Linked DNA regions of Oryzias latipes. The protein of the gene in region 5 interacts with the protein of the main gene of each other region in a pairwise test. Links are inferred from orthologs where the notes say so. Each region holds a gene or a part of one and is shown on either strand. Other genes may lie near its edges.

Region 1 (4,053 bases), on a different chromosome or scaffold from region 5:
TCTCACCTTTTATACCTGTAACAGTACTTTAAGGAAAAGTCAATGGAGGCTTGGACATCATAAAACTTTCCAGGATGGAACAGGAAAAATCCAGTGCACGTGATCAACAGCTAGGGTATATTCTTTAAGATGCAGAGATCATTCAGGGGGACAAAGGACGTAAAGAAATAGTAATCACTGCTTAAATAATGAATAAAAGCATTAATTGATCTTTTTCTAAAAGCTTTAAATTTAGATCACTCATTGTTAAAAAATACATAAATTAAAATTTCTTCCTTTTATTGCAGACATTCTGAACTAAAGGACAGTTCAATTTATATTAAAACTCATTTTACAATAAATTTCTTGTGCCATCTATGGGCAACTTTCTTTCCTTACTTTAGGCTATGTTTGGATATTCCTTTGTAAATACACCATGTTTCAGTAAATATTTGTTGTGGCAGTATGTGTATGACAGAAAATTTCTACATTTGAAAAAATGCTTATTCAACTAATGAGCAGGTAAGTTACAATTTTTAAGAATATAGTTTCAAGCTATGCATTACCATCTTATTTGTGGGAAAATAAATAAATAAATGCATTAATAACTAATGGAAAAATTAGAAAATAATAATAATAACTCAAGCAATACTTGAAACAATAACTATTAGTCACTATTACTATTTAATGTTTCTCTTCTTGTTTTTAGTTTGGCGTGTTTACGACTTCTTACTGTTGTAACATTTGTTTACGTCTTTTACTTAAAGCACGTTGTGTTCTGCATGATGACAAAGGGTGCTCTGCAAATCAAGTGATCAAATGATTGGTTCAAAAATGGAGAAAAATTATCTTTATACACCTTTCATTTTTTTTATTATTTTAAGCCTTTCATGTGTATTTTTTTGGAAAACAGTATTTATTTATTTGTCAGCACATCATTCTCACATTTAATTTTTGTCCTTTAAAAATGTATATTTCTGCATACGGGTGTAATTTTCCTTACTATGAATAATGTAAGTTCACATGTTGCAATAGAACCAATAAATTAACACAAATCTAAAAAGTCTAAAATCTATAATCCATTCCGCGGTGAGAAAACCGACACTAGAAATATGTAGAGATTTTTTTAACCACTATTTCTTTGGTACGGACCTCTATTTCATACCATAATTCAAAACCCACTTTGTTGTATAATGCTTTGTGCGCATGTGTGTGCAGCAAGACACATCTCTTCAGGAATGATGTCATGTTTTTCAAATACGCAGCCTGCAACATCCGGGTCCTGCCTCTGACTCGTTGCTTCCTAGAAGCTAACGGTGGCTAGCAAGCTGTCAAACCTGTCAAGTGGAGAGACAGGAATAGACGATTCAGCCTCCCTGGGCTTAGCTGTGCAAAGCTTCGTTCTCCCAATCCCTTACATACGAAAAATTGAAGAATTTGTTTACTCGCCACACGAGATAATGTGATGCTTTGCGGGTGCGCGCAAAAGGGGACCGCCGCATTACCACTGTTTATACAGAATCTTGAGTGACGACTTCTTATTGCTAGCTATAGGCTAGCTAGCTAAGGTAAACTACCGCAAAACCCTGTTTTTAGCGTTGTACATTTTGTGCCGAATACTACAATCTCCTGGATCTTATTTTTGTCGCAATTTTTTTCACTTCCAGCGGCTGTCCTGATATTTGGTAAGTAAGTCGTATAATGTTTACTCGGTTTCAAAAGTACTGTTAAAGGTATAAGTGTTGTGAGCTATCAATGCTAAGTTAGCATACCGATGGTAGATTAGCAAGGCCGACGGCTTTGCTCGCCTTTTAACATTTTAGCAAAACATGAAAGTAGGCTGTTGTAGTTAGCTTTGGGGCACAAGGGTCAAGGCCCTCAATTAGGCAAGGGTGTTTGAGTACCAAATGAGACCGGTCCATACAAATTTAACTACCCGCTGTAAACCAACGCCTAAAACTTAAAACAGATACGCACTGAGCAACGCAAGTGCATGCTACTAACTAGCCATGTAACTTCAGCATTAGCATTAGTGTAACATTTTGTCAAAGGTTGAGCTTGGTAGTTCTTTTTGAGAAACTGGTCACACAGGTAAAGCTGGGATTATTTAGCTTTAGGCATCAAACTGTGCTTTTACTTGAATTAACCAGTTTAACCAGTGCTGGGGTGTTTAAAATACGAAGGTCAGAAACGTGCATTGACACATTTATAATTTCGTTTCTGTACCGTTGTCTTAGAACTTAAACCAGTGCTATAAGGCGTTTTAATTCACTTGAAACGAATAACGTTCTAAATACATATCCAAAACATATTCACTGGTCTTCTATTTATGTTTCAGAGTAAGGACCTAAACTCAGCTTTAAGATTCTAATCCTAGGTTTTATGACCTGATATTAACCTGATGATGACTAAACGTTGTAACTTGCCTGTGAACATTTTTAAATTTGCATGGCTTTAAGTAAAGTGTAAGTCTTTGATTTCATGATAATTTTGTACAGTAAAATGTGTTTTTATTTGTTTTTTAAATTTTTATCAATTTTAAAAATAATTTATTTTTAGAATCCACTGCTCACTTTTCTTTTATTTAGCAGCACGGAATGTCATAAACAATCAATATTTATAATACTTATAGGCTGCTTTATGAAGATTTAATGTTATTGGTATTTGTCAATTTTTTATTGTGTTTAAGTATTTGAATGGTGTCAGACCATTTAGTCTCGTTTTGGGTTCATATTAATCACAGTATAGATTTTTATGGTAATTTATTTCATCCAAACTGTGAGGCTTTACAGCAAAGATATGTTTTTACTTCCTTTTTGTTGTTTTTATAAATGAATGTTCTTCTTTTTGATTAAACGTAAAGAAACCTAGTTGGTCATACTTTAATACTTGTACACGTTAAAAAACAATTTTTTCTTTAAAAAAAACTGGGTTTTGTCTAAATTCTCTCCATGCTCCCCAACTGCTAAAACCGTGCAAGACTATCTATTGCCCTGGATTTTAAAAGCAATTCGGACACCACGCTCTCCATTTTTTTCCTTCTGCAATGGAAGATATGGTTTCAACGATTTCCCGAAGTAAAAATCGAATAAATATGAACATTTTACAAAGACTATTTATGAATCCATTGTGTTCTGATTATGGAACCTGTATAGTTTATAAAAAATAAAGAGAGTTCTCTTTTCCACATGAAAAGTTGTTCAAACTCATTGTATTGTGATGTAGATTCACCAATCTAGTGAGCATTGATGCACACTGGTTTTTTGCAGAGACCTGGAAAATTTAAGGGGCACTCGATTTTGTAGAGCCGGACAACTCCTCAAAATGGCAAATGCACCATAGTGCTTCATGATAACAACTTAGATCTATTAATCAAGGTCTATTAGAATATTGAACAATAATAGATTGGGTGTTTATACTCTTCAGATTGCTGCTTTTGACTGTTTATTCCTGAAATGTCTTACCTAGATATTTTTCTTTTACCTTTTTGTTAACAGGCTTTCAGGGTGACACAATGGGTGCATTTCTGGACAAACCAAAGATGGAAAAACATAACAACTCTGGGGAGGGAAACGAGCTAAGGTTTGGGTTGAGCAGCATGCAGGGATGGCGGGTTGAGATGGAAGATGCGCACACAGCAGTAGTTAGTTTGCCTTCGCCTCTTCAGTGCTGGTCATTTTTTGCTGTATATGATGGGCATGCTGGCTCTCAGGTGGCCAAGTACTGCTGTGAGCACCTGCTAGAGCACATCACTAGTAGCCAAGGCTTCCAGAGTGCTCTGAAGGAGAAATCTGAAAGCACGGTGGATAAAGTTAAGGATGGCATCCGCTCTGGATTCTTGATGTTTGACGAACACATACGAAACTTGTCTGAAAAGAAGCATAGTAATGACCGCAGTGGCTCCACCGCTGTAGGGGTGATGATTTCTCCAAGCCATTTGTACTTCATTAACTGTGGGGACTCGCGTGGAATCCTTAGCAGGAGTGGATTGGTGAAATTCTTCACAGAGGATCACAAGCCAAGCAACCCACTAGAGAAGGAAAGGATCCAGAATGCTGGTGGCTCAGTCATGAT
Region 2 (3,826 bases), on a different chromosome or scaffold from region 5:
CCATCGTAATTTTTTGTTTGTTTTTTGGTTTATTTGAAACACAGTTTTCTCGCCTTTAGGGGTCTCTCCATACTCCTGCTTCCCTCTTTACATTTGTAATGTCTTATTTCATCCTTCCTTCTGCAGAAAGTGAACTGTGTCCAGTTCAATGAGGAGGCAACTGTCACCTTGTCTGGTAAGAAATCACTTACCGGTACACAACTGTAGTTTAACAATCAGCGCAATATTTCAGCACCAGACAGCTGTTCTCTGTTGCCCCAAAGTGCTGAAGAGAAGAGAAGAGAATTTAGAGGAGTGACCTTAAAGCAAAAAACATAATCAACAAACAAATACAACAAAATTAATGTTATACCCGTATTTTTGCCCCCCATTTCATTGTCACATGCTGCTTGTTCTCACTTTACGTAGGATCCATAGATGGGACAGTGAGGTGCTGGGACAACCGATCAAGAAAATCGGAGCCCATCCAGATCTTAGATGAGGCTCGTGACGGCATCAGCAGCCTCAAAGTGGTTCAGCATGAGCTGCTCACTGGGTCAGCCAAGAATGATCACAGAAGCTCATGATTATCACCTAAGTCAACCGTTTACTAACCCTAGAAAACGTCTTTGGTTAGGTCAGTGGATGGCAGGGTGAGGCGCTATGACCTGAGAATGGGACAGCTGCATGTGGACTTTATTGACAGTAAGAGGTTTTTTTCTCTTTTACAGAAACTGCAAAAGATTCTGTGTTTATTGCAGTTCAGTTTGTTGAGGTAAATGTGGTAAGTTAATGCCTTAGTCACATACAGCCATATGGGTGATGCAGGTGTTTGGGTTGTCTGGATACGTGGAGTGTCATAGACAGGTGCGGCCGCATGTTACAGGTAACGCAGGTTAGTCCTGCAGTCCTGTACGTTCAGAATGTACGATTGCCGGCCTGTGTTAAGTGTATCCTGAAGTATTTGTAAAGATAATGTAAGTTGCACGCACCTATAAAAATAATAATAATATAATACTACTAATAATAATACACTTTATTTGTATAGCACCTATCAAGATAAAAATCACAAAGTGCTTCACAGTAAATCACAATAAAACAGTAAAATACGATAAAACACAATAAAACACAGTAAAACACAGTAAAACGCAGAAACTAAAACATAATTAAGAAAAAGCAATTTTAAAAAGATAGGTTTTTAGCACCTTTAGTTTTTAACCGGTTTCGTTTAACAACCAGCAGACCTGCTGGGGGTGTACGGCTGCAAAAGGTCTTTTAAGTAGACCGGTGCTTGGCTATTAAGAGCTGTTTATCTTAAAACCAGGATTTTAAAATGCACTCGGTAGCGGATGGGGAGTCAGTGCAGCTGGATTAACAACGGGGTGACGTGTGAACACTTAGATGATTTAGTTAAAGCCTTGCAGCAGCGTTCTGGACAGCCTGGAGCCGTCCTAAAGATGATGCAGTAACCTATGATGTATTGGTGATGCTGTCGTGTGGTGCCCTTTCTAGTGAAACCACACGACAGCATCATGACAGAGTCTAGTCATTAGTAAGTACTGACCACATGCAAATGCTGCTTGCAAATGCTGCTTGCACGAGATGTGCATGTGTTTTGTTTGTACGTATGTATTATCTTCATTTCCAACAACATCCGCATTTTAATTACTTCACCCACTCACTTACCCTTACATGTTGAATAAGTGTTTGCTACGACTTAAAAATTAAATTAAAATTTCCAATGGGCCACCTGTATTCCCTGTACAGGTTTGACCATTTTTGCCCACAGACAGCCCATATCTACCCATAAGGGCAGTTGTGGCTAAGGCAGAAGCGAACACGTTACACTTTTCTATATTAAGCATGTTTCTGTCTGTACGTTCCAGGTCCCATCACCTGTGTGTGTTTCAGTCAAGATGGTCAGTGCACCCTGAGCTCCAGCTTGGACTCTGCAGTTAGACTGCTGGACAAAAGCACGGGGGAAATGCTGGGAGAGTGAGTTCCAAAAAACAGAATTCACGTCCACAGTGTTTTTGTCAGTGTGCAAATAATGACATTATAAAATTAACAAACACTCATTTATAAATCATCTTTCAAAAGTAAAATTAAGAATAAAAGTAATGTAAAAATAATAAAATCTACTAAGAACCAATGTTTTAGAAAAACTGCATGAAATTACAACTGGAAATTGTTTTTGCTGTTATCAATGACACACTTTAAACCCCTGAAATGTATTTTGTGTTTTTGCTTTTAAGTAGATGCTAAATTATATAATTTTGGAACAGAGTTGGTTTAATGTATATTTTCTTCCAGGGCTTTAAAATTAAACCCAGCCACTCACCAAATGCACATAAAACCTTAATTTGGCGTGTAGGAAAATAAATTCACTAGCCACTTTGGCAGGTGAGACACTGATTATCATTTCTGACGGGGGCTCAACTTGCATCAGGACTTTTAAGTGTCCGGCTCGGGTTGGCTGGGTGGGGGATTGATGATTTTTTTAAAGTTTTGTGTGAAATCTGAAGCAGAATTTCTGAATTGAGAAAAGTTGTGTTTAGGTTGTAATAGTAGTACCTTTATTTATCCAGGTGTTTAAGAACAAGATATTTTGTTTTTTACAAACATTGCCGTGAAGTAAATTCTTTGTTGTGATGTGTCACTGATGGTTGTTGGTGTAGATATAAAGGCCACAAGATGAAGGGCTACAAGCTGGACTGCTGTTTGTCGAACAGAGACACACACGTCTTGAGCTGCTCAGAGGACGGCCATGTGTACTGCTGGGACCTGGTGGAGGTGAGTGTTCATCAGAGTCACCGCATTTCCCACTGCTGTATTTGATCAAATATGAGCAGTAGTTTTTCAATCTAATAGCACATTAAAGTAGAAACAAAAGAATCCCAAAAAGCTTGTTTTTTTCTTTCCTACACTTTAAGGGTTCTTTGTCTTTGAAGCTGCTGGTGGGGACAGCAGTTGTCCAGTCCTTGTCCTTCCATCCATCAGAGACCCGCCTTCTCACAGCTATGGAGGGCCGTGTTCAGGTGTGGAGTGCAGAGCCAGAGGAGACGGAGGATGAAGCGCCGCTCTTATAAAAGCATGAATGGAGCCACGACACAGTTGTGTATTTGACTGCAGCGCTCAGTTTTTGCATCAGCACACATGCAGCTGCTGCAGAGTTTCAAACAATGTCGATTTTCAACTGTTGGATGTTGGGGAGCTTTTACTCTCCTGACAAACATTATTGGACTCGAGCTTTACTAATAACTTTGTAAATGTTGGCTGAGTAACTTTTGAGATATTTTGTACATTAAACAGACTCACAAAGACTGTAAAAAAAAGTTTATTTTTATGGACTCTACACACACTGTAGAAAATAAATTAATCCGCAAGTCCAAAAACATTTAAATAAATAAATAGAATTATTTTACAAAAATATTTTGTTGTTTTTTAAGTCTTTCCAGCAAAGACTAAGTCTACAACATTTTTTAAAACACTACCACGGTTTCATAGCTTCAAGATTACACTGGAGAGCTTAACTTAATACTTCATCATTCTACATCAAGTTTTTTTTCTTTATTCAAACAAAATCAAGTGTTTTTTTTCATTATCATGTTTCCACTAACCCTCATTTAATGTGCCAAAATGTAACTAAAAAGTCTTTCTGGTCATCAGCTCTTTTGTCAGGCCGTCTGTCTGACCCGAATTCCTCAGATTTTCCTTCCAAAGTGGCCGAAAAAGTAACATTTTAATATCATCTTAGTTTTGAGCACCTGCCCTCTCACCTCCCCACTCATTGTCCAACGGTCTTAGCCCACACAGCTGCAGCCCGCAGCAGACAGCTTCTCCACCT
Region 3 (3,237 bases), on a different chromosome or scaffold from region 5:
ATCATATTGTGATGAATATGAGCAAACTTATGACTGACTGACAGTAACCAGGAACAACACATCAGCACTTCCCATTAAACAACAATGAATCCCAGCCAGATAATACAGCCTTCTTACCATAAAAGACTGCCACTCATAGCATTCATGTTTATTGGTATATATAGCTTTAAGTTTGATGACAGGTGAGGAAGTACATTTGTGATTAATTTGAAATACAGCATGCAGCTGTATACATTTTTAAAGTTATAGGTAGGATTTTTAATTAACCCCAACTTACATGTCAACTTTACATCTAAAAATTCTCTTATTATAATTAAATACCCACTCAGATGGAAATTGATTTTTTTTGTTGGTGTTTTTAACATGTTTCTATGACATAGATAAAGAAAATTCAGCTTAAAATAGCATTTTTAAGTATTTCTTTATTCAAAGAGTTGTGAATCAGGAGCAGACAGAAAAATGCAGTTTGAAAAAGGTTGTAGGTGTGATGTAGAAAATACCACCACACCAAAATATAACATGCAAACCACAAGCTCCCTGCTCCGCTCCATTCAGTTTGATTTCAAAAGTGCAGTGTAAAAGCAAATCAGACTACTAAAAATTATGGTTTGCTATTCTGCACCCAACGGAACCATGCTGGTGGTCGGTTCTGAACCTGAATTCATTTTTGTTTGCTTACTTAAGAGGGATTAGTGAAACCTCAGCCTGAACTACAGTGAAGAAAATGGGACTTTGTTCTGGAATATTGCTATAGTGAAAAAAAAAACCTGCTGTTAGTTTTCTGGTGGGCATCTTCAGGCATGCAGACGTAATCATTTTCTCCAACGTTTGAAGTACGATACAACTAAAGCAGATGCAGAAGGAACTAAACTAATACTAGAGTGAAGTTACTTCTGTAATGATCAGGATTTTCTTCTTGTAAATTCTCTCTTTTCATTGCGTAATGAAGTATTTTTTTAAGTTTGTATAAGATCAGTATAATTGATATCTTTAAAAAAAATTGTTCACATTTACCAGATTAGAAAAAAAAGATACAACCCCCTCAATTCTGTGGTAAATCAGTGGGACTCAGATGTAGGTTGGTAGCAGTTTGACCTTAAGCTCACCTGTTTGCAGGCGCTGGAGAGGTTCTATGAGGCTGTGATGCAGGCCATCCTCCGCCACATCAATTTTGATGGTAAGACAGTCGCACACAGTAATAGAAATGCAGTGTTTTTGTTATATTTACAGGTTGTCTGAGAAAGAAATGAGTGTCTATTGGAACTCTTTCCTTCCTGTGTTTAGTGGTGAAGTGTATCCTGGTTGGCAGTCCTGGTTTTGTGAAGGACCAGTTCATCTCCTACATGTTCAAGGAAGCCGTGCGGCAGGACAACAAGCTCCTGCTGGAGAACCGGCCCAAATTCATGCTCGTCCACTCATCATCAGGTCATAAGTATTCACTCAAAGGTAGGAGCTCCTTCACCTAAAATTAAATAAATTAAATAATAAAGAAAATAAATCCAAAATGTCTTAAGTGTATTTAAATATTTGCTGCTTTGCAGAAATCCTTTGTGACCCCACTGTGACAAGTCGGCTTTCTGACACCAAGGTGATCGCACTTCAGTGATCCATCAGCCTCATCTATTAACTTAGAAGACAAACACAACAGATGAAATAAAAAAGGGAGATACAGCACAGGGTCATGGCACAGAAAAGTTCATATTACTTCAGAAATAAAGCCAGGAAAATGTGGAATGAGTATACATACAAAGTCTTAATATGACAGTAAAATACTGTATTTATATTTCTAAACTAGTTGTGAACTTTTGTGACATTCTTGTTAATGTATCACATATTTCAAATTTAGTTAACAGTTTAAAATGCATCTTTTAAAATAATTAATATACATTTTAGTGCTGTCTGCCTATGTTCTTTATGTTACATTCATTTGTACCTCTTACATGTATCATTTATGGAGGTTTGAAAGTTTTTAGTGCTTTTTTTCTATCCAAGGATTCGGAAGGAAAAGATTTAAAAAAAAATGAGCTTAGAGCCACAGAATACATTTTATTTGTACCTGTTTAATATTTTTAAATATTATTTTTCATGTCACTATTTTTGCCAATCCTTTGATGTTATAGGTGTAGGAATAATATACATATTAAAAAGAATACAATTTGCCAAATTGATTGAGTCGAAGCTCTTGCTCAAAGGGAGGATTTGTGGTTTGAACCCAATCTTTTTGACCTATTCAGTCGTACAAACGGTTTTCTCTACATGTAACCCTCAGGCAGCAGGAGAGGTGAAAGCTCTGGAGGACTTCTACAAGATGCTTCAGCATGAGCCCAACAGAGCGTTCTACGGGTGAGAGATGACGCACCAGAAGAACCACAACAACAGAGATCCTACAATAACAAGCCTCTCTCTCTCACTGCAGAGTCGCTCACGTGGAGAAAGCTGCGGACGCGTTGGCCGTTGACACTCTGTTGATAAGCGATAAGTTATTCAGGTGAGTTTTGCCAAATACAGAACAAACGTTACATATTGTCTGTTAAAGTTGTAATGTATGAAATGAACTTTAACCCTTTAATAATAATAATAATGGATTAGATTTATCCAGACGCACAAAGCGCTTACAATGTGTCCATTATTTATTCACTCATGTATACTTGGTGTTAGTAGAGGCGTAGCTGCCAGTTTGCGCCTATGGTCCCTCTGACCATCGCCGGGACATTCATACGCATTCACACACCAGTGGAGCAACACTGGAGGCAGCGTCTTGCCCAAGGACACAACGACAAATGACTGGGGGGAGCAGGGATCGAACCGCCGACCCTTCGAATATTGGACGACCTGCTAAACCTCCTGACCCACTTTAAGTCTGATTTTTTTTTTTTTTTTTTTTTGGTTGCAGGCATCAGGACGTTCCCACCAGGAGTCGTTACGTCCGGCTTGTTGACAGCGTGAGAGACAACGGAGGAACTGTCAGGTAACTTTTGATTCAAGGACACTAATATTTCTGCTTCCAGCATTTCTGAATTTTATCTGCAACATTGGTTTTATGTTCAAGCCCCACTTTGTTTTTAGAGTGGTTTCTTTTATTTTCAGCTGTTCTATGTGTAACAAAATGGAAAAGGAAAACATAGGAAGTTCCTAAAAACCTGCTCAAAAATTACTGAAAAATTAGGAATTTGAGAACAAAACAATCCTAAACAATAATAAAATGATACTAGGACACTTGGACTTTGGTCCATCCAT
Region 4 (4,307 bases), on a different chromosome or scaffold from region 5:
AGCTCCTCCATGTTTCACAGTAGGGACAGTGTTCTTTTCATTGTATGCTTCTCTATGAACATAGAACGGATGTGCCTTACCAAAAAGCCCCAGTTTTGTGTCATCTGTCCAGAGGACATTTTCCCAGAAGCTTGGTGGCTTGTCAACATGCATTTTTGCAAATTCCAGTCTGGCTTTTTTATGATTTCCTTTCAACAGTGGTGTCCTCCTTGGTCGTCTCCCATGTAGTCCACTCTGGCTCAAACATCGACGAATGGTGCGATCTGACACTGATGTACCTTGATCTAGGAGTTCACCTTTAATGTCTTTGGAGGTTGTTCTGGGCTCTTTGGATACAGTTCCAACTATCCGTCTCCTCAATTAGTCTTCAATTTTCCTCTTCCGGCCACGTCCAGGGAGGTTGGCTACTGTCCCGTGGGTCTTAAACTTCTGAATAATATGTGCCACTGTCGTCACAGGAACTTCAAGCTGCTTAGAGATGGTTTTATGAGCCCAGACCTGAATCCCATTGAACATCTGTGGAAGGAGCTGAAACATGCCATTTGGAGAAGACACCCGTCAAACCTGAGACAACTGGAGCACTTTGCTCATGAGGAGTGGGCCAAAATACCTGTGGACAGGTCCAGAAGGCTCATTGACAAATGCAGAAACTGTTTAATTGCAGTGATTGCCTCAAAAGGTTGTGCAACAAAATATCGAGTTATGGGTACGATCATTTTTGTCCAGCCTTATTTCATTAGTTTGTTTTTTTAAATAATTCTATTAATCAACGACTCAAAAGCAATGGCTGATTTTGATTATTTAATTTTCAACAAATTTTAATATATTGTTACTTTTGAACGTTTCAAGTCATTTCAGTGAGCATTGTGGGCTTTCTTTCTTTAACTGAGGGGTACCAACAATTTTGTTCACCACTGTTTATAATGCACAGTCTCTAAGCTGAAATCAGAAAGCACACAATAAAGAATTGATCAAATTTCCAGTCTGTGTTCTAGTATTCTTTAGTGCAGTTGATGCTGATCAAAGCTGTAAGCCTGCTGTGTTTACAGCCTTTTTTTAATGCAAGATACTAGACTGAACCACATCATTCTGTTGTATTAAAGATTTGGATCCTGATGAGTGTAGGTGAAAAGAAATACAAAATTTCAAAATACTAAATACTTAAGCAAATTAGCTAGTCCAATAATGGCTTTAAAAAAATTTTTTTTATATCTAGCTATATTACAATCTGCATAAAATTTCACACTAAATAATAGATCTATTTTATTGTATTGCTTCATCACTAAAATTACTTAAATAAAACACAGCAATGTAGCTTTCTAACATTAAAAAACAAACAAACAAAAAAAAAAAACAGGACAACAAATCGTCCAAAACCTTGTTGATCCTTTTCACAAACAGTAACCCAAAAATGTAATTTGGCTGTAAGTTAATAATTTTAAAGTTGGGAGTATCTGCCCACAAAAACGCGAAAGGACAGGTGTTGGCCCAAACTTCAAACCTCAGGCTTGATGGAACACCTGTCGACCCAGCATCCTTTGCGTATCCAATATGGAAGAACTGGCGGTGGAGGTCCGTGGCTCTCGCGGCGCTTATTACAAGGTAAATACCGGGGCATCCGTGCACCTTTGACCTTCTGTCTTTCACAAATTGTTTACTATGATAACCTAAGTTCATTGGACTTGATTACGTGTCCCATCTTCCTCTAAATTCATCCAGCTGCTTGCTGTAAGCCTTTAGCAGAGTTAGCCAAAATTAGCAGGCTAGGCTAACGTCGATGATTGTGAACATTCGTTATTTATGATTATTATATTGACTATAATCAAATCCAGAAAGCATAATCCGTTTTGTAAGACAGCTGACTTGTTTTATAGTGTATCTTTTAACACACAATGGACTTTTTCTTCGGGTTTTCGTAAGCTAAAGTTAGCTTACTAGCTCACTGGTAATTCTGTTGACGTCAGGTAGGTTCTTGCCCTAGTTCGGTTGCTAAAGGGCTTTTTACTCCATGGAACATAAGGACGTGATGAGTTTGTTAAATGTACATATTAGGGATTTGAAATCTCGACGTTAGGTTTTCTATGCACGTGGCGTACTTCTTCACACTTGTCTGCCACTGTTCATTCACTGAGACTGTATCATGCCCAAGCTATCTTTACTATTTCTGCGTATGCGAGTCAGCTGTTCCTTGTCAATCCTGAGCAGCTGGCATGCTGGGAGAGGGTCGCTCATTTCAAAGAATTACAGTGTATTTATAGTCCTGCAATCTGAAGTGGCACCAAAGTCTCCCCTTTTCTTCCTTCCATGTCTCCTTTTTCATCATCCTTTCCCCCCCATCTACTATTTTAATTTCTTACTACTACTAGCATAATGTTTAACATGTTTTCTTTTTGCCAGGCCACTTTGTAAACCAACACTACATGCTAAAATAGTTTCACTTGAGTAAATTACAGCTAAACCAAGCAACTGTGGGTATGTTTTGTGAGTTTTGTTACTGTGATTCCAAATATCTCCTAGGAATAATAATTAGAATGGGTTTTGATTTCACTATAGATGTTGCAAAACAAGTTTTTTATTTATTTATTTATTTAATTGTAACTCGACTCCTTTTATACTTGTGTAGGGACTTTCTGAACTCTGAAAAGAAAGAAGTGAAAACATAAGCGATAGATTGTAAGTTGTGGTGTTAGTCTGTAAACAGTAAGTGGAAAAAAAGTGAAGTAGTGGTCCCATTATATCATTTTAAAGTGTTTTTTTAAATGACTTTTAGATTCATTTGAGTCGGGACAAATTCAAGTTTATTTAGACCCAGCCCAGAGTTAACTATGTAATGATAGAAGAGTGAGCATGCAACAGTTACTTTCTTGAGTTTTATCATGCCTTCAAAATATTAAGCAAACTAACAAAGGAAGAGGGACATTTGGGTAAATTTAAATATCTTGAAGTCCCATCAAGCACCCTCTGAGCATCTCCATGTGCCTTTGATTGTCAGTTAGACTAAAAAAAAGAAATTAGAAACGTGTTTACTCTTTACCTGGATATTGTAGGGAAGCTGATTGGTAACATTGATGTTAATCTGAACAAGTCAAAACAGTGAGAAGGGTCATAAATAGATTTTATTCAGAATTTAAGGTTTACCATTATTACTTTGTTCGGATATTTCTTGCGTTTTTTTGTTTAACTGATGTCCTTTTATCCTAAGTTAAAATTTAGAAGTCTCTATGTAACTTTATGGCATTTGTAGTTTTTGTGAGCCTGTAAATGTCTTCTCTGATAGTAAAATGTGAAGATTAAGGGGATAAACAGCTTGTTACATTTTTTTCACTTCAACGAAACCCTTCGGTCTACCCTATGGTTTATTACTTTTCTTTACTGGAAGATCTAGATAGTGTCTGCACATCATGGTTTAGGCAAATGCTTAAAACCACTTTATAAAGCTAAGTTTTGAATCTAGAGGAAACATACATATCTGTTGCATTTTCTATGATAATCTAATAATAATATAAAAACAGATGCTGATTAGCATAAAGAAAGGCAAGGAAAAAAATGAAACTATTTTTGAACAAAAGTTCATGGTAAGTTCTGCTATAGGAGCTGGAACTGCACCACACCTGATCATTACATGACCATAAGGGGAATCATTGACCACTCATGAAATAACAGTTGGATAAGTCTGTTAACCCATACATAACACAAGATAAATGTTAAGCTAGTGATTCAATGTCAGCTTGTCATTTCCAATAGGTATACTGAACTGGGTTTCTGGTAAGGATATTTTTAACAAATGGGAGGACTGTTCTCAGAAGTTTGGACTATGTACAGTGAGGCAAAAACTTATTTGGTAGTTGGGAGCAAGTTGTCCCTCTTAAAAAGATGAGAAAAGTCATAAGTTCACCTCAATGCTTTTTGTAATCCTGTTATCAATGATGGATATCAAATGTTTCCTGTAGGTCTTCTGCAGGTTGGTAAGCACTGTAGCTGATATTTATACACATTTTGTCAGTGTAGATCTTCTCAAGAGCTGTGATGTTCTGGGGCTGTCACTGTGCAACAAAGACTTTCAACTCATTCCAAAGATTCTGTATTGGGTTGGGTCTATTGGACTAACCCACTCCAGAACGTTGAGATACTTTTTACATAGCCACTCCTTTATTGCCTGGGCCACGTGTTTGGCATTGACAGGCCGATGGATCCAGATATATTTAATAGTCAATTATGATGTTGATGGAAGGACGACTTTGCCCAAAATCTCACCATTCATGTGGCGTTAATGGCGACTGTGGTCCAGTGGTAGGGCGGTTGACCTA
Region 5 (3,169 bases):
AAACAAACAGCTGTGGCTGTTAATAACTTAAACTTTCTGGTGACTTTGAATTTTGGGAAAACACAAAACACAGGATAGAATAAAATAAGTTAGTTTCTGATGGTTTGAAGTTCAAATTCAAATGAAAATTTCCTTTATAAAATCATAACATTGTATTGATGCACTAACCTTTAAAATTCCAGCTTTTTTTTTGGCCTTTTTTTGATTAGTAGAAAGTGTATTCTTTTTAATTTTTAAGTGATAAAAAACGGATTCCATCTAATGTTTGACATCAAAATAGGTATTTGCACATTGCCAATCCATCACATCATTAGCATCTGGCTGCTATATGTATATCTACCAGTTTTTTTACACTCTGCAATTTAAGACACTTATGCAAAGCTTGTAAAATAAACTTTAGTGAAGTTTGCCCTTACTTTGACCCTAACCTTAACCATAAGTATTGCACACAAATGCACAAATACATATTAGCTGGATGATAACACTATTTTACAGAGGCCAATGCACTTGTGAGCTACAGTAAAATGTTACAGTATATTCACTTTATTTGGTTTCTTATCACACACATTAACTCTGGGTTATTTCCAAGAATTTTTGGATTTACAACTGAAGAGCGTTTTCCTTTCGATGACCCTAAAACACCTTTAAACTGATCTATGCTCATATTTTCATTGATTGCACACTTTAGACTTTTTTATATTCATTAGTAAACTAGCAATAGCACAGCTAAACTTCAGGCAATATTTTCTTTTAACATGTGCTTAATAACATTCTTAAGCAGACTGACATCAAGTCTGTTGTAACCTGGTGTGTCAAACATTAAAACCTGATAAACAATGAAATGTTTATGAGCAGAGTTCAGAAATATTCACGTTGCCTCCCTGATAAATGCCATTCCTCAGATAATTTATCTCACTCAAGCTCGGTTTATTTTTTGAACCCATGAAGATGTTTCTGTGAAATTCCACACCAGCTCCAGAACTCCATAGTCTTTCTCTCCATCTGTTTTTACCAGCTGTAAACACGTCTTTATCTTCTTCACCCTGAGATCCTGTTTGCTCTGCAGTTTTGCTCTTAAGTTAAGTTGGGAGGCTAAAAGCAACGCTTGTGTTTACCGTTTGACTTTTTGTGTGCTGCTTCACATGCAGCTGTGGTTTCGGTGGACAAAGAGCTCCAGTATGTGACGGGACTGCAGAGGCCATGGCTGAATGACACGACTTCTCCCTGCTTCCAGAATCATTCCCCAACAACTTACCGGAGACACTCAAAAGATATAAATACACATAATTGGCATTGTCCTCTCCGAGTCCCAGGGCAACAGGAGAGTTGACGCCCCGGCCCATCACATTTCATCCCTTACATCACACTTGTTAAAGCACAAGTGTGAAGAGGAGGCCGTTGGTTATATAAAGCGTGTGAGTGGATTGCTGCGGACTCCAAAATAGGCTTTTCCCCAAACCTCCTGCTTACTTACAGTTTTTGAGTTTCGTTTTGGTTGGTCTGATCTCGTCTTGCATTTTTCTGTCAGGTGGGAGCAAGAGCTTTTATTTTCAGTCTCCTTTTCTTGAGTTTTGAACCACATGGGTGATCAAAATAAAACACTATCCCGGCCCATATTCCGTCGAGATGTCCGCTGGGATCCTTTCCCAAACTGGACTCAGCCAAGCCGTATTTTTGCCCAGGACTTCGGCATTCCTCCTTTCCTGGAGCCCAATGATCTGGACTGGCTTGACTGGGCAAAAAAGAGACTGGCTTCTTTCTCCTGGCCGGGTTACACGCAAAGCCCCCTCCTGCCTCCCATCACGCCGGACCAGAAGAGTCTGAGACAACTGACTAGCGGTGTGTCTGAGGTGAGAACGGGGCAAAACAGCTGGAAGATCAACCTGGACGTCAATCATTTTTCACCCGAAGAGATCTCCATCAGCACAAAGGATGGCTACTTGCAAATATCAGGTACGTAGGCTTAATTTTTTTTCATTTTATACATAAAGATGTTTATTAATAATTACTGTTTTTTTTAAGGAACTCATGAAGAAAAGCAAGATGAACACAGTTTGGTTTCAAGATGTTTCACTCGTAAATACAAGTAAGGAGGCTGAGAAGCAAATTCGAGACACATTTAGGATGCGACCGTAACATATTTCTGTTTGTGACAAACGTTCTCTCATTTTTTTCGAGGTTACCACAAGGGGTGAATCTGCAGCACATCAGCTCATCCCTGTCCTCAGAAGGAATGTTGTCCGTAGAAGCTCCCGTCCCAGGAACATCCATCAGCAGCCCGGACAATGAGATCGTCATCCCCGTTCAGACCAAAAAGACACAGGACAGTGAGAAATGAACATAGTGAGCAGAAAGTAGCTCAAACTGTGCATAGCAGCAATTATTAAAATTACACAAAGCAGACTAGATTGCTTAAATTTAATGTTATCATTTGCTTTTTGGGAGATTTGAGACTTTTATAATCTAATTTAAACTTAATAAAAAGCAGAAATGGTATTGGATCCAATAAAACAAACCCTTGCTGTCCTTTTTAATTTTGTAATTTTGCACTAAAATTTTGTTTACTATAAACTGGTCTTTATCTTACTGTTCTTGTAGAATGATTGTATTATGCAATTTCAGCCTTCACAATGAAACAGAAATAAAATTTGGTAAAAATACATTTCTTTCACAGATTGTGGTTTTGTCACAATATTCATTCTTGCAGCTCAAACTTTTTTTTAACATGAAAACTTACACCTAAAAACAGGTCAGAGGTCACCAATTTTTTACAACCCATAATAACTAACAGTATATTGTAAGGATCAATATTTTAGGCAAGGACACGGAAAAAAGAATAGACAAAAAAAGTCTTTTTGTAGCTGTGCAGCAAAAATTTACTGTTACTAAATTTAAAACGGTGTGAAGTATGATATTGTTTGTACGAGGTTTCTGAAAATATTATATCATTACCTTGTAAAACAGTTTTAACTGCAAATTTAATAAAGATTTAAAGACTTAACTTAATTTTTTTACCTCTTAAAAACTCTACCTTAATTTGGGGGAAATGGAGACAGCACTCCAAAGTTATATAAAACAAAAATAAAACAAATCTAATATTAATAAAAAGACAAACTTAAAATTAAATTAGTTTTGCTCTTTCCCCCCCCTTTAAAGTTCTCTTTAAGTA

What was found.
Region 1: the proteins of heat shock protein beta-1 (region 5) and ppm1a interact in a two-hybrid assay, tested with the Homo sapiens proteins (2 studies listed by BioGRID and IntAct). The link is inferred for Oryzias latipes from reciprocal best matches to the Homo sapiens genes HSPB1 and PPM1A.
Region 2: the proteins of heat shock protein beta-1 (region 5) and wdr83 interact in binary tests that used the Homo sapiens proteins (3 or more experiments, as listed by UniProt). The link is inferred for Oryzias latipes from reciprocal best matches to the Homo sapiens genes HSPB1 and WDR83.
Region 3: the proteins of heat shock protein beta-1 (region 5) and pelo interact in binary tests that used the Homo sapiens proteins (3 or more experiments, as listed by UniProt). The link is inferred for Oryzias latipes from reciprocal best matches to the Homo sapiens genes HSPB1 and PELO.
Region 4: the proteins of heat shock protein beta-1 (region 5) and fxr1 interact in a two-hybrid assay, tested with the Homo sapiens proteins (2 studies listed by BioGRID and IntAct). The link is inferred for Oryzias latipes from reciprocal best matches to the Homo sapiens genes HSPB1 and FXR1.

Annotation. Positions count from the first base shown.
Region 1 is NC_019880.2:12,126,112-12,130,164, reverse strand, and holds the start of ppm1a (protein phosphatase 1A), read left to right. Parts: upstream 1-1,250; 5' UTR 1,251-1,547; exon of another isoform or gene 1,548-1,646; 5' UTR 1,647-1,664; intron 1,665-3,476; 5' UTR 3,477-3,493; coding exon 3,494-4,053. UniProt on the Homo sapiens protein: Enzyme with a broad specificity. Negatively regulates TGF-beta signaling through dephosphorylating SMAD2 and SMAD3, resulting in their dissociation from SMAD4, nuclear export of the SMADs and termination of the TGF-beta-mediated signaling.
Region 2 is NC_019859.2:27,121,516-27,125,341, forward strand, and holds the end of wdr83 (WD repeat domain-containing protein 83), read left to right. Parts: intron 1-126; coding exon 127-175; intron 176-408; coding exon 409-535; intron 536-616; coding exon 617-684; intron 685-1,865; coding exon 1,866-1,974; intron 1,975-2,657; coding exon 2,658-2,772; intron 2,773-2,912; coding exon 2,913-3,068; 3' UTR 3,069-3,314; downstream 3,315-3,826. Other genes in the region: pspn (persephin), read right to left, coding at 3,783-3,826. UniProt on the Homo sapiens protein: Molecular scaffold protein for various multimeric protein complexes. Acts as a module in the assembly of a multicomponent scaffold for the ERK pathway, linking ERK responses to specific agonists.
Region 3 is NC_019877.2:7,509,322-7,512,558, reverse strand, and holds part of pelo (protein pelota homolog), read left to right. Parts: intron 1-1,116; coding exon 1,117-1,177; intron 1,178-1,284; coding exon 1,285-1,446; intron 1,447-1,541; coding exon 1,542-1,588; intron 1,589-2,269; coding exon 2,270-2,343; intron 2,344-2,416; coding exon 2,417-2,488; intron 2,489-2,893; coding exon 2,894-2,968; intron 2,969-3,237. UniProt on the Homo sapiens protein: Component of the Pelota-HBS1L complex, a complex that recognizes stalled ribosomes and triggers the No-Go Decay (NGD) pathway.
Region 4 is NC_019862.2:18,754,734-18,759,040, reverse strand, and holds the start of fxr1 (fragile X mental retardation syndrome-related protein 1), read left to right. Parts: upstream 1-1,507; 5' UTR 1,508-1,551; coding exon 1,552-1,602; intron 1,603-4,307. UniProt on the Homo sapiens protein: mRNA-binding protein that acts as a regulator of mRNAs translation and/or stability, and which is required for various processes, such as neurogenesis, muscle development and spermatogenesis.
Region 5 is NC_019870.2:13,682,180-13,685,348, reverse strand, and holds heat shock protein beta-1, read left to right. Parts: upstream 1-1,387; 5' UTR 1,388-1,580; coding exon 1,581-1,953; intron 1,954-2,022; coding exon 2,023-2,086; intron 2,087-2,178; coding exon 2,179-2,338; 3' UTR 2,339-2,662; downstream 2,663-3,169. UniProt on the Homo sapiens protein: Small heat shock protein which functions as a molecular chaperone probably maintaining denatured proteins in a folding-competent state. Plays a role in stress resistance and actin organization.